2 linked regions of the Caenorhabditis elegans genome follow. The protein of the gene in region 1 purifies or fractionates together with the protein of each later gene. This does not show direct contact. Each region holds a gene or a part of one and is shown on either strand. Other genes may lie near its edges.

What was found.
Region 2: the proteins of ptd-2 (region 1) and nfu-1 fractionate together in Caenorhabditis elegans (co-fractionation; one large-scale study listed by BioGRID). This does not show direct contact.

What each region holds. Positions count from the first base shown.
Region 1 is NC_003283.11:9,248,479-9,255,096, forward strand, and holds ptd-2 (SSD domain-containing protein), read left to right. Parts: upstream 1-1,753; 5' UTR 1,754-1,796; coding exon 1,797-1,837; intron 1,838-1,893; coding exon 1,894-2,017; intron 2,018-2,147; coding exon 2,148-2,251; intron 2,252-2,294; coding exon 2,295-2,514; intron 2,515-2,567; coding exon 2,568-2,749; intron 2,750-2,794; coding exon 2,795-2,939; intron 2,940-2,985; coding exon 2,986-3,160; intron 3,161-3,205; coding exon 3,206-3,315; intron 3,316-3,367; coding exon 3,368-3,484; intron 3,485-3,528; coding exon 3,529-3,710; intron 3,711-3,755; coding exon 3,756-4,044; intron 4,045-4,096; coding exon 4,097-4,215; intron 4,216-4,261; coding exon 4,262-4,463; intron 4,464-4,509; coding exon 4,510-4,637; intron 4,638-4,845; coding exon 4,846-5,022; intron 5,023-5,070; coding exon 5,071-5,219; intron 5,220-5,331; coding exon 5,332-5,561; intron 5,562-5,628; coding exon 5,629-5,745; 3' UTR 5,746-5,850; downstream 5,851-6,618. Other genes in the region: str-94 (Seven TM Receptor), read right to left, coding at 1-39, 107-181, 389-507, 555-828; F07C3.9 (T2SSF domain-containing protein), read right to left, coding at 5,860-5,908, 6,037-6,149.
Region 2 is NC_003282.8:10,385,644-10,389,132, forward strand, and holds nfu-1 (NFU1 iron-sulfur cluster scaffold homolog, mitochondrial), read left to right. Parts: upstream 1-1,769; 5' UTR 1,770-1,773; coding exon 1,774-1,825; intron 1,826-1,868; coding exon 1,869-1,931; intron 1,932-1,977; coding exon 1,978-2,056; intron 2,057-2,120; coding exon 2,121-2,610; 3' UTR 2,611-2,708; downstream 2,709-3,489. Other genes in the region: Ankyrin repeat and KH domain-containing protein mask-1, read left to right, coding at 1-332, 384-560, 629-957, 1,003-1,099; R10H10.3 (CUB domain-containing protein), read left to right, coding at 2,877-2,954, 3,338-3,489.

The sequences.
Region 1 (6,618 bases):
AGAATAGCCCAGAGACATTATTGTAACAAGAGTAGTTATCTGAATGTTTTTAGTTTGAAGTTTTTATTTCAGACATGGTAGCATTTGATTTATTTGATTTACTCACTGCAATGCAATATACATTGGTCATTGCCAAACAACTTTTCCATTGAATTTGAATTTCGCCTTGAGATCCGACAATCTGAAAAACCCTCTTTAAACAAATTCAAATGCTTCAAGTTCTCACAAAATACAATGGACCAATGTAAGAAAGACGTTCAATGTTTTCTTCATAGTTCTCACGAATTGTATCTTTCAAGTAAAAATTGAATGTTGGATTACTACTCAATAAGAAAAATACATTACACCACCAAAATACTGCGAGAATTATGAAAATTAGAGGCCAAACCAGTGCACGTGGATATTTGAACCAACGAATTTCGTTTGGATGGATCATCGCAATATATCGATAGACGAAATGAATGGCAAGCAGGACCAGTGTTAGTCCGTATGAAGTGCAGTAAGTTGCTGAATCCATTTATTTTTAGTATGAATACATATTTAAAAAATCTTACGGATAATTATTGAAGCCAATAGGGGATCATACTTAAACCAACTTGCACAAAATACAATAAAACTATTGAGATATGAATGCATTGCTGGTTGAGTTAGAATATCAATTATGGAGTACCAAAGTGAAAATGCAGCGAACCATAGCATTAAGTACTTGTATGAACCAAAGTTCTGTCGAGTTCTTGTTATGATTAAGTAGATTAATGTAACATTAGTAATAAATGCTACGAAAAAACCTAGGTATTCCGCAGAAACAGTATAAAATGGAATTCGCATCTGAAAGAATCAAAAATTTTTAGTTTTACTGACTACATGTAGTAAACGTGTTCTTATACTTTTTTTTTTAATAATTGGGTAATTGTATAATAATTTTGTAGTGTCAAAAAATTCGTTGCATCAAACTATAAAAAGCCGCATTACCTCGATTTCAAGAAATCAAGCTAGAATGCGACATTTTCACGACTCGTGAATGAATAAAATTTCGCAAACAATTACTGGATTAAAAAAGCGGGTCTACGATACTCATTTCCAAAATTCACATATTTTATATGCTTGTTTTTTCTCGAAAAAGGGCGGAGCTTGAACGTCCACTACCGTAGTCTCAAATGACGTTTATATAAACTTTAGCATAATCTTAAACGAGAAATGCTTTGATGTTCAGATGTTAACAAAGAATGTTCGAATGACAGCAGAAAAATATGAGTTTTGTTTTTAGTGAGTAATTCCTAATACTTTGACGGAGAACAAATAAACATTTTTTGTACACAAGTACGCAAGTTTAATATAAATGCAAAATGGAGGATCATTAATGGCTAAATACCGGGAATAATTTGTGACTAAACATTTACCCGCTTTTTGGAGCTTTTTTCTGAAATTTTGGGCTGCTTTGCAACTGACGCAGGAATACCAATTAAAATCAGTAATTGGGATAAAAGTTGCTAAAAAATATTTAACTTAGATTGTTAATTTTGTCATATCCATCCATAAATGGTTTCTCAGACTCTCATGATTTCCTGTTTAAAATTGTTGAATCATCAATCAAAAATCGAAAATATACGAGAATGAATCTGTATAGAATAAACAGTTGTTTCGTTGTAAATGTGCATGTATATTTGTATTCTGAATTCTTCTCGAATCGTTCAGTGAATGAGAGGCACGTAGTTGAAAGCGCAAACATTCGATTGTCACCCATCACTATCATTCTTGTTCACTCTTGGTCACCTAGTTCTTTTTTTTTTGAAGAAATGTCCACTGTTTCACGGATCACGGAACGAATTTTCATGAAGTTTGTTTTTTTTTCATTTTTCAATTTTAATTTTTAATCTTAAATCTCAAATTCAGATATGCACATGTTGTTATTGACTATCCGATAATATGTATAGTTCTAACTGGTACAATTTCTGTGATTTTAACGTCTTGGGCACTGTCTTTCAATTATCAAGTAATTGATTTCGATCCGACAAAAGTAAGCAAGCTTATTATCTTAACAGAATTTTCTAACCTGAATTCAACATATATTTGTATAACAGAATATTGAAATCATAATTCTTGATTGAGGAATGTTTAAAAAGTGGAACAATAAATCTGTTCTTAAGGGATTTGAAACTCGAGGAAGTCCATTATCATCTGCACGAATGACACTAGAAGCGATGAAACCACATCAAGCTTCAAATGAAAATATTCTTCGGTGGTATTTTGAGTAAGCCCTCCTAATGTTTTAGCACGAAAAAAACTAATTTCAGACAAGATCCTGGGCGTCGAAAGAGATATATCAAGAATGATACAACAACCACGCTTGACCCAATTACCGTTAATTATGATGATTACGGTGTCGATTCTGAACCTAACTCCTCCGATTTGGAAGATCCATGTGAAATGTATGGGGCTATTGGGAAGGCTCTACCTTACGATATGATAGAATATCTAGGAAAAATTATGATACGAGTGTCTAGTTATGATGATGTGAGCTGTTTATTTTGGAAAAACTACATTTTTTCAACAAATAGCATTTGCAGCTCTTCAGTTTGAACGTCATGAAACACCTTTGTCAAATTGATTCCATTGTCGACAACTTAATTATTGAATCTAACTACACAAATCCCATCCAAGCTTTAAAACATTCTTTAAACATCCCATATTACACAACTTGCCCCAATATGACTACTCAAAATTCCTGTGAAGCATTAAATGAAAATGAGTGAGCCTCACAATTTTTGAGATTTGGCTTTCAATAATCTTTCAGCATTTTAAATTTTCGATATTTACTACAAAAATGCAAGATCAATTCAACAGATGAAGTTTGCTCGGCATTTTCCATTAACCAAGTGAACAATTGGCTTTTAACAAAAGGAAATTCTTCAGATTTTATTATTGTTGTTGTGTTGAAAGTGAGAAATAGCATTTGGTTTTTTATTCAAAGTTATGAAAATTCAGGTAACAATGTGGAATGGAGCTGAGAATAGAGACTTCTATGATGATTTAATTGATAAATTGAAGGACCACCTCGAAAGAAATCCACATACACGAATGGCTGGAATAGCATTGAACATGAAAAATAAAGTGTTTCAAGAAAGAATTCAAACCGACAGCTTATTTGCTGCATTTTCAGGTCTGAAGTTTTAGCGTCGATATCAACAAATTCCCAATTTTTCAGCTCTTCTTGTATTTTCATGTTTTTTGATCTACTCAAGAAGTATAATATTCACCTGTATAATTCTGATGGTTGTCACGTTATCATCTGGTGTGGCTTTCTTCATTTATACTGTAATTGAAATTCAAATTTTTATGTTACTTTCGCTTGTAAAAATCAATTTAGGTAGTCCTTGGGATTGATTTCTTTCCATTTATCAATCTTCTGGTTGTTGTGATATTGATATCAATTGGAGCAGATGATGCGTTTCTTCTTTTAGTCTATTACAGGAGAGAAGTTGAGGTAAGTTTCTTCAATTTTTATTTCAATAGGATAATATTTTCTAGAGAATGTCACACTTGGAGTATAAAGTTGGTTCAATTTATATTCCTCTTTACCGAGAATCTGATCTATTGTCTCGTAGTCTGCGTCTATCATTACATCATTCTCTCGTCTCCATGTTTGTAACTTCACTCACAACTGCTTCAACTTTTCTTACAAATCTTTCAAGTCCAGTCATTGTTTTGAGGTTTGTTTAAAATCGATGTATCGCCGGCAAACTTATGATTTTCAGATGTTTTGGAGTATATGCAGCACTTACTGTTACTGTAAACTATATTCTGGTAGTTTTAATTTTACCCGGAGCAATTATTCTCTCACGTCCAATCAGAAAGAAGCTTTCACGCGGAGATGAAGAACCTGAAAAGATTGAAAGTCATTCATATTTTGCTTCTAAGATCACGGAGACCACTCACTATTTCCGCTTTGGAATTTTTATTTGCAGTTTAATTATGACGGGATTGTCTCTTTTCATCATTTTTCAGAATCCGGGATTGAAAACTCCGCAAACAAATCCGACTAAAGTAAGAAATTGTATAATGGAAAAAATGCTGACTAATTTAAAGTATTGTTCAGCTTCTTGTAGACTCAAATATTCACGAGTATTTTGACAACAACGTTCATCATTTCAATTTTCAATGGCAAAGATCGGCGAGATTAGTGAAAAATTTTGTTTTTGGAGTTGATGCTATAAAGTATGAAAATTCAAAATAAGTTTTACATACAAATTTTTGATTTCAGAGAAACTTCAACACTGAGTCCGTATAATAAACCATCGAAAAACTTTTCACAGGCGCACTACAGCCTTGACACAGATAAATTAGACTTCTATAGAAGAATCGTGAACTTGGAATCAAAAAAGTATCAACTCGTTAACTATACTCACGTGTCATGGGCTGATAAAATACTACAAGCTAATGAGTCTTGTTTCTCGGAGAATAAAGTAATAATGCGAGCTCAAAAGTTTAAAATTTAGAAAATAATTTCAGACAATTATCCATGAATGCATTCTATCAGCATCCGTTCGAAATAAGAATTTGATTCATCAATTTCCTGACGATTTTTCGGTAATTCCAGGAGATGGTCCTTTTATTGATCAGGATCTCAAAGTAGTTGGGTGAGAAATTATTTTGATTTTTAAACGAATTTCAAAAATCATGTTAGCTCTCGTACTGAATGCACACAGTAAACATTAATTTTCCAAGTGAATTGAAAAAATATATTGGGGAAAAAAAATTTTTTAAATCTTTTTTGATCCATAACGAGAATTTCGTTCAAACCCAATTTTTAAAAATAATGACCAGAGGTGACTAAAACTATTTCAGATATTTTATATCAATCCCATCAAATCAAAAACTGCAAGTTGATACAGAAATGATTGGGAGTTTTTTCCAAGAAATTGAGGAATCCTGTAAACAAATTAAAAATGCTACATCTGATTCAGTCCTTTGTCTTTCCTCGACAGAGATTACCAGATTTTACGACATAGTCTCCCAACTCAGGTATTTTTTTTAATTTTGATCAAAAAAAATAATTGTGAAAAATTGCAGATCGTCGAGTTTCACTTCAGTTGCAATTTCTTTGGGAATATGTCTCATTGTGATTATTGCTTGCACGCGTGTTATCAAACTCTCAATTATTTCTTCCGTTATTATATTCTTCGTAATACTTTGGACCGTGGCCAGCCTCATTTTGTTAGGTAGGGAACAAGCATGTATATAATTTTGAAAGCACTAATATGTTTTACGACTGATTGCTAGAATGCAAAAGTGTGATTTCAAAAAGTATGTACTCAAAAATATTAGTTTCAGGATGGCAATTGTCTGTAGTTGAGTCAACCATTTTAATAATCACAATTGGGCTCAGTTTTGATTACACTTTGCACTATGTAGTTGCTATTCGTGACACGAAGTGTGTACCAGCATCTGAAAAACTGACTTCTGCTCATTCGACGGCAGGTATTGCATGTGTTTTCGGTTCCCTGACTCTATTTCTTGCTGGATGCCCTCTTCTTTTTTCACAAACAGCGTCGTTTTATCAGGTGTGAATTCTGTGTTCTATTTTGCTATTAAAATATCGTGTTTTATGCTAACATTAAGTATTTTCAGATAGGCACAATGCTCGTTATTCTTGGAATAACATCACTTTTCGGTGCTTCTATAGTTTTGCCTTCATTTTTAATGGTATTTTCTTGTGGAGATCGTTTACAGTCAACAAAACTATAAACAAAGATTATTTATTATGATAGTTGTTATCAAATAGACAACTCATATGACTTGTAATGTGATATTCATTATTAAAATGTACAGAATACATAATTTTCGGTCCTTTTTGGTCTTCTAAACGTTTGCTCTCTTCATGTGATCCACGATGACCGGAATAGCACATCTGAAAAATCAAATTTAAAAAAAAACGCTTATCAGTTCATTTAATTCTTAATTAAAGCTCAATTGTTCAAACAATCAGAAACAAAGTGTATCTGATGATAAGAGAAGAACAGAGCACACTGCACTTACACAAAGATTCCAATGACAAGGGTAACTGCGGAAATGATTGTTGGAATGTGTTCATATTTTTTGATGAGACGATCAGCGTTACGGCCGATGATGTCAGCGTAGTTTCTTGGCATGTTCTGCAAGAATTTGAAGTACTAAATTGAAACAATAAAATAAAAAAAGCAGTGACAATAATTTTTTAAAAAATCGGGAAAATAATGGGGTTTCAAAAACATTTTTGTCTTAAATATTTATAAACACATAAAAATTGTTTAGCTAAAATTGTTCAAAAAATTATTTTTAAAAATCTCATTTTAGTAAGAATAATATCATTTAACTTCTCAATAAAAATAGGTACAAACAGCTGTAGTATTAAATTCAGGAATATTATTAATTTGCAATTGAATGAAGAAGTTTGGCGAAAGGACATATAACAAAAATGTTAACAAAATTTGAACAAAATGCTATACGTTACAGAATGCAAATAGTATGAATTCATATGGATTTGAACTTAAAAATTACGGTTTTTTATTCGATTATAAATGCTAGTTTCTATTATCAATATCCACACGTTCACAAATAAAGTGTGGTCAGTTTGCAATC
Region 2 (3,489 bases), on another chromosome or scaffold:
CGTCTGCTCGTGATCCGAATAGATCTCAACCACCCCTGTTTGCAAGATCTCAATCGAATTCTGTTGCTAATAGCACTTCCACGAATATTCAACAGCAACAACAACAGCAAATTCAACACCTTCAACAGCAGCAAGCACTACAACAACAACAGCAAAGGATTCAGCAATTCCAGCAACAATACCAACAGCATCAGTCTCAAAGTTCTCAGCAACCAAGTGACTTGATGTCTTCAAAGTTTTCAATGCTACAATCACAACAACAGCAGCAGCAACTTTACAATCAGATGCAGTCGCTAGGTCAAGATGGACAGGGATCCAATCTGTATAACCATGTAGGGATCCGTGATTTATGTCTGAAAATACGTTATTTGATTTATTTGCAGCTTGCCGCCCAATTATTGACTCATCAAGAGAGTTCTACAGGAGCACCTGGTCCAACAAGTAGTCAACTTGCAAATAGCTACTATCCATCACCTTCGTATACGGATGCCAGTGTTTTAGGGCAAATTAGCATGCCGTCATTGTCACAGAGAGGAATAAAGCAATTTGATGGATTTAATGTAAGTTTAGGACAAATTTGATGTTAAGATAGCAGGATCAGTTTAAAAATTAATGAATGGAAATTTAGAATGACTCTGATGGCGTTATTGCTGCTATTCTCGAGCAACAACAACAACAGAAGAAACAAGGACTCGCACAACAATCGTTCATGCATAACTCTCAACAGCCACAGCCGTTCGGAGCTCCCAGCAACGCTTCTGCAAATCAATCGCGACTCGGAATGATCCAACCTCGGCCCCAACCGCCACCATTTGTTGCTCCACAAGCTCCACCTGGATTCTCTTCTCTTGGAAATGCATCTTCCACGACGAACCCATCTCGAACTTCTATGCAGCAAATGTATCAGCAATACGGACAGAGTTCACAGCAACAGCCTTACGGTCAGATGCCTCAAGCGTAAGTTCTACGATTTCTAATTAAATATTTGTTTATTTATTACAGAATGGATTGGAACCGACTTGGACAGCAACAGCAGTCTGCATCTGGCCAACAAAATCATCAGTCATCCTCGTCAAATAAATGGTCTTCCAACTGGTAGATATCGCTCACAAAATCGTCTTCTTGTCAATTAGTCCCCCCTCCCCTCATAATAATTCGGTGTTTACTTGTTTTTTATTCAACCGTGAAACAATATGTCTTCCCGGTTGAATTGCATCCATTTTTCTTTATTTCGTCTCCTCGTTCCGGGTTTTGTAACACTTTTTCTTCATTTTAAATCTAGCCTTTTTTGGTCCATTTTTTCTTTCAACTCTCAAATGTTCGATCTTTCCCATCCCTAGCAAGTGTTTTCTTGCGAGCTCAGCCTTGTGGAAATTGTACTCTTCTGTCCAAATTATTCCCGTTTACCCATTTTTTGTTCTTTTTATATCTCCCCCGACATACTACTTCTTTTTTTTCGGTTATTTTTCAAGTCTTCCAACACAACACATATGTATTTGAGACGGATGTCAAATGGTCCCAACTTTTTCTTCCCTTTATTGAAAAGTGTGTCTTATTTTTCACTTTTGATGTTTTACTCGTTGTTTCATATGAAACCTGGGCATTTATTTCATTGCTAATTAATTATGACTTTCTTCGCTTTATGTTGATCCATGAATCGTGATTCTTGAAAGTATACAGGTTAGGCTATTGAAATGTACAACTCGAGGTTTTGATTCCTATATCTTGAGAATTAAGTCGGTAGATGTTGAAAGAACAAAAATTTTCAGAAAAATGATTTCATCAAAAATGCTCACAAGACTGAACCGGAGCTTTGTACAAGCAGGTGATACTGGTTCCAGAAATTCTTTCATTTTTTAAAATTTCAGCTCGATCAATGTATATTCAAGTTCAGGAGACACCTAATCCACTTTCTTTAAAATTTTTACCTGGTTAGTGGAAACTTCACTGTTTAAAATCTGAAATGTAGTATTTCAGGTCAACAGCTTCTCCCAGACGCCTCGAAAACATACGATTTCAGCTCAGCGGCTACAGCAAAACAAAGTCCACTTGCTATGTAAGGAATATTCCAAATTTTAACTACCATTCAGATAAAATAGTATTTATTTGTAAATTTTCAGAAAACTTCTTCGAGTCGACGGAGTGAAGCGTGTGTTCTTCGGAGAAGATTTTGTAACTGTCACGAAATCAGATGAGACTGTTGACTGGGCTCTCCTCCGTCCGGAAATCTTCTCAACAATTGCTGATCACATTCAAACCGGAAAACCTGTCATAAATGAAGCTGCAACTGTTTCCGACCAAGTGGAAGAAGATGATGAAGTTGTAATGATGATCAAAGAAATTCTAGAGACACGTATCAGACCAATGGTACAAGAAGATGGTGGAGATATCACTTATGTTGGTTTTGACGATGGTGTTGTCAAATTGAAGATGCAAGGTTCATGCACAGGATGTCCAAGCTCTGGAGTCACTTTAAAAAATGGAATTGAGAATATGCTCACATTCTACGTGCCTGAAGTGAAGGAAGTTATCGAAGTTAAGGATGAATCCGATGATCTTGTGGAACAAGAGTTGAAGAAATTTGAGCAATCAAAAGGAATCAAAGACTAATTGATAATTGATTCGTGTATAACTAGATTTGTTTTTATTAGTGTTTGCTGCTAGAGATAAATGTTCAATGAATATTTATAAAAACTTTTTTATTACTTTGAAAGTCGTATTAGTAGAATTGGTTTATGACTCTGAAATCATCGAATCACGTCAAAGTTCAACGGCCCAGTCCAAATCAGTGATATCAGTTAAAAGACTTATCACCCGGAAAAGTGGAAAATTGTGCTTCGTAAATTGATAAGAAATCAGTCAGAGTGCTGCTCAAAATGTTGAAACAAATTCTTCTCGTCGCTATTATTTTAAATTTAGGAGTATCTGCGTATAAGAAGAAAAGCTTGATTCATGTTAGTTTTTTTTTCAAGTTTTTGAATTTTCAATGTTATCCAGACGCGGAATTTTGCTATTTTTGCGGCTGGTTCGGTTTCTGAACGACATCATTTTAATAAATGCGGAAGGTACGCGCCTTTAAAGTGAACTGTATATCCAAACTTTATTTGCTGCGGTCAATTCTTCATAGTTTTTCGAGAAAAATATGTTTTTTTATTTATTAAACAAACTACATTTTGAAATCAAAATACAAAAATCTTCAGAAAAACATGAGACAACAACTTTTGCATTTATCAAAATTTTATCGTGACGAGACCGGGTACTGTCGCTAAAGTTCGCGTCTGAGTAATTGTGTCTGTAAATTATAAATTTAGAATACTGTAGAATATAAATTTATCAGAATCATGACAAAGTGATCGTATCAAACGACGACTTTATTGGATGCCCAGTTAACAATGATTTCTATTACAATGGAACCATTAATTCACCATTGTATCCATACAATTATCCTCCAAATGACAAGTGTTACTATTACATTTCTGCTGAACCAGG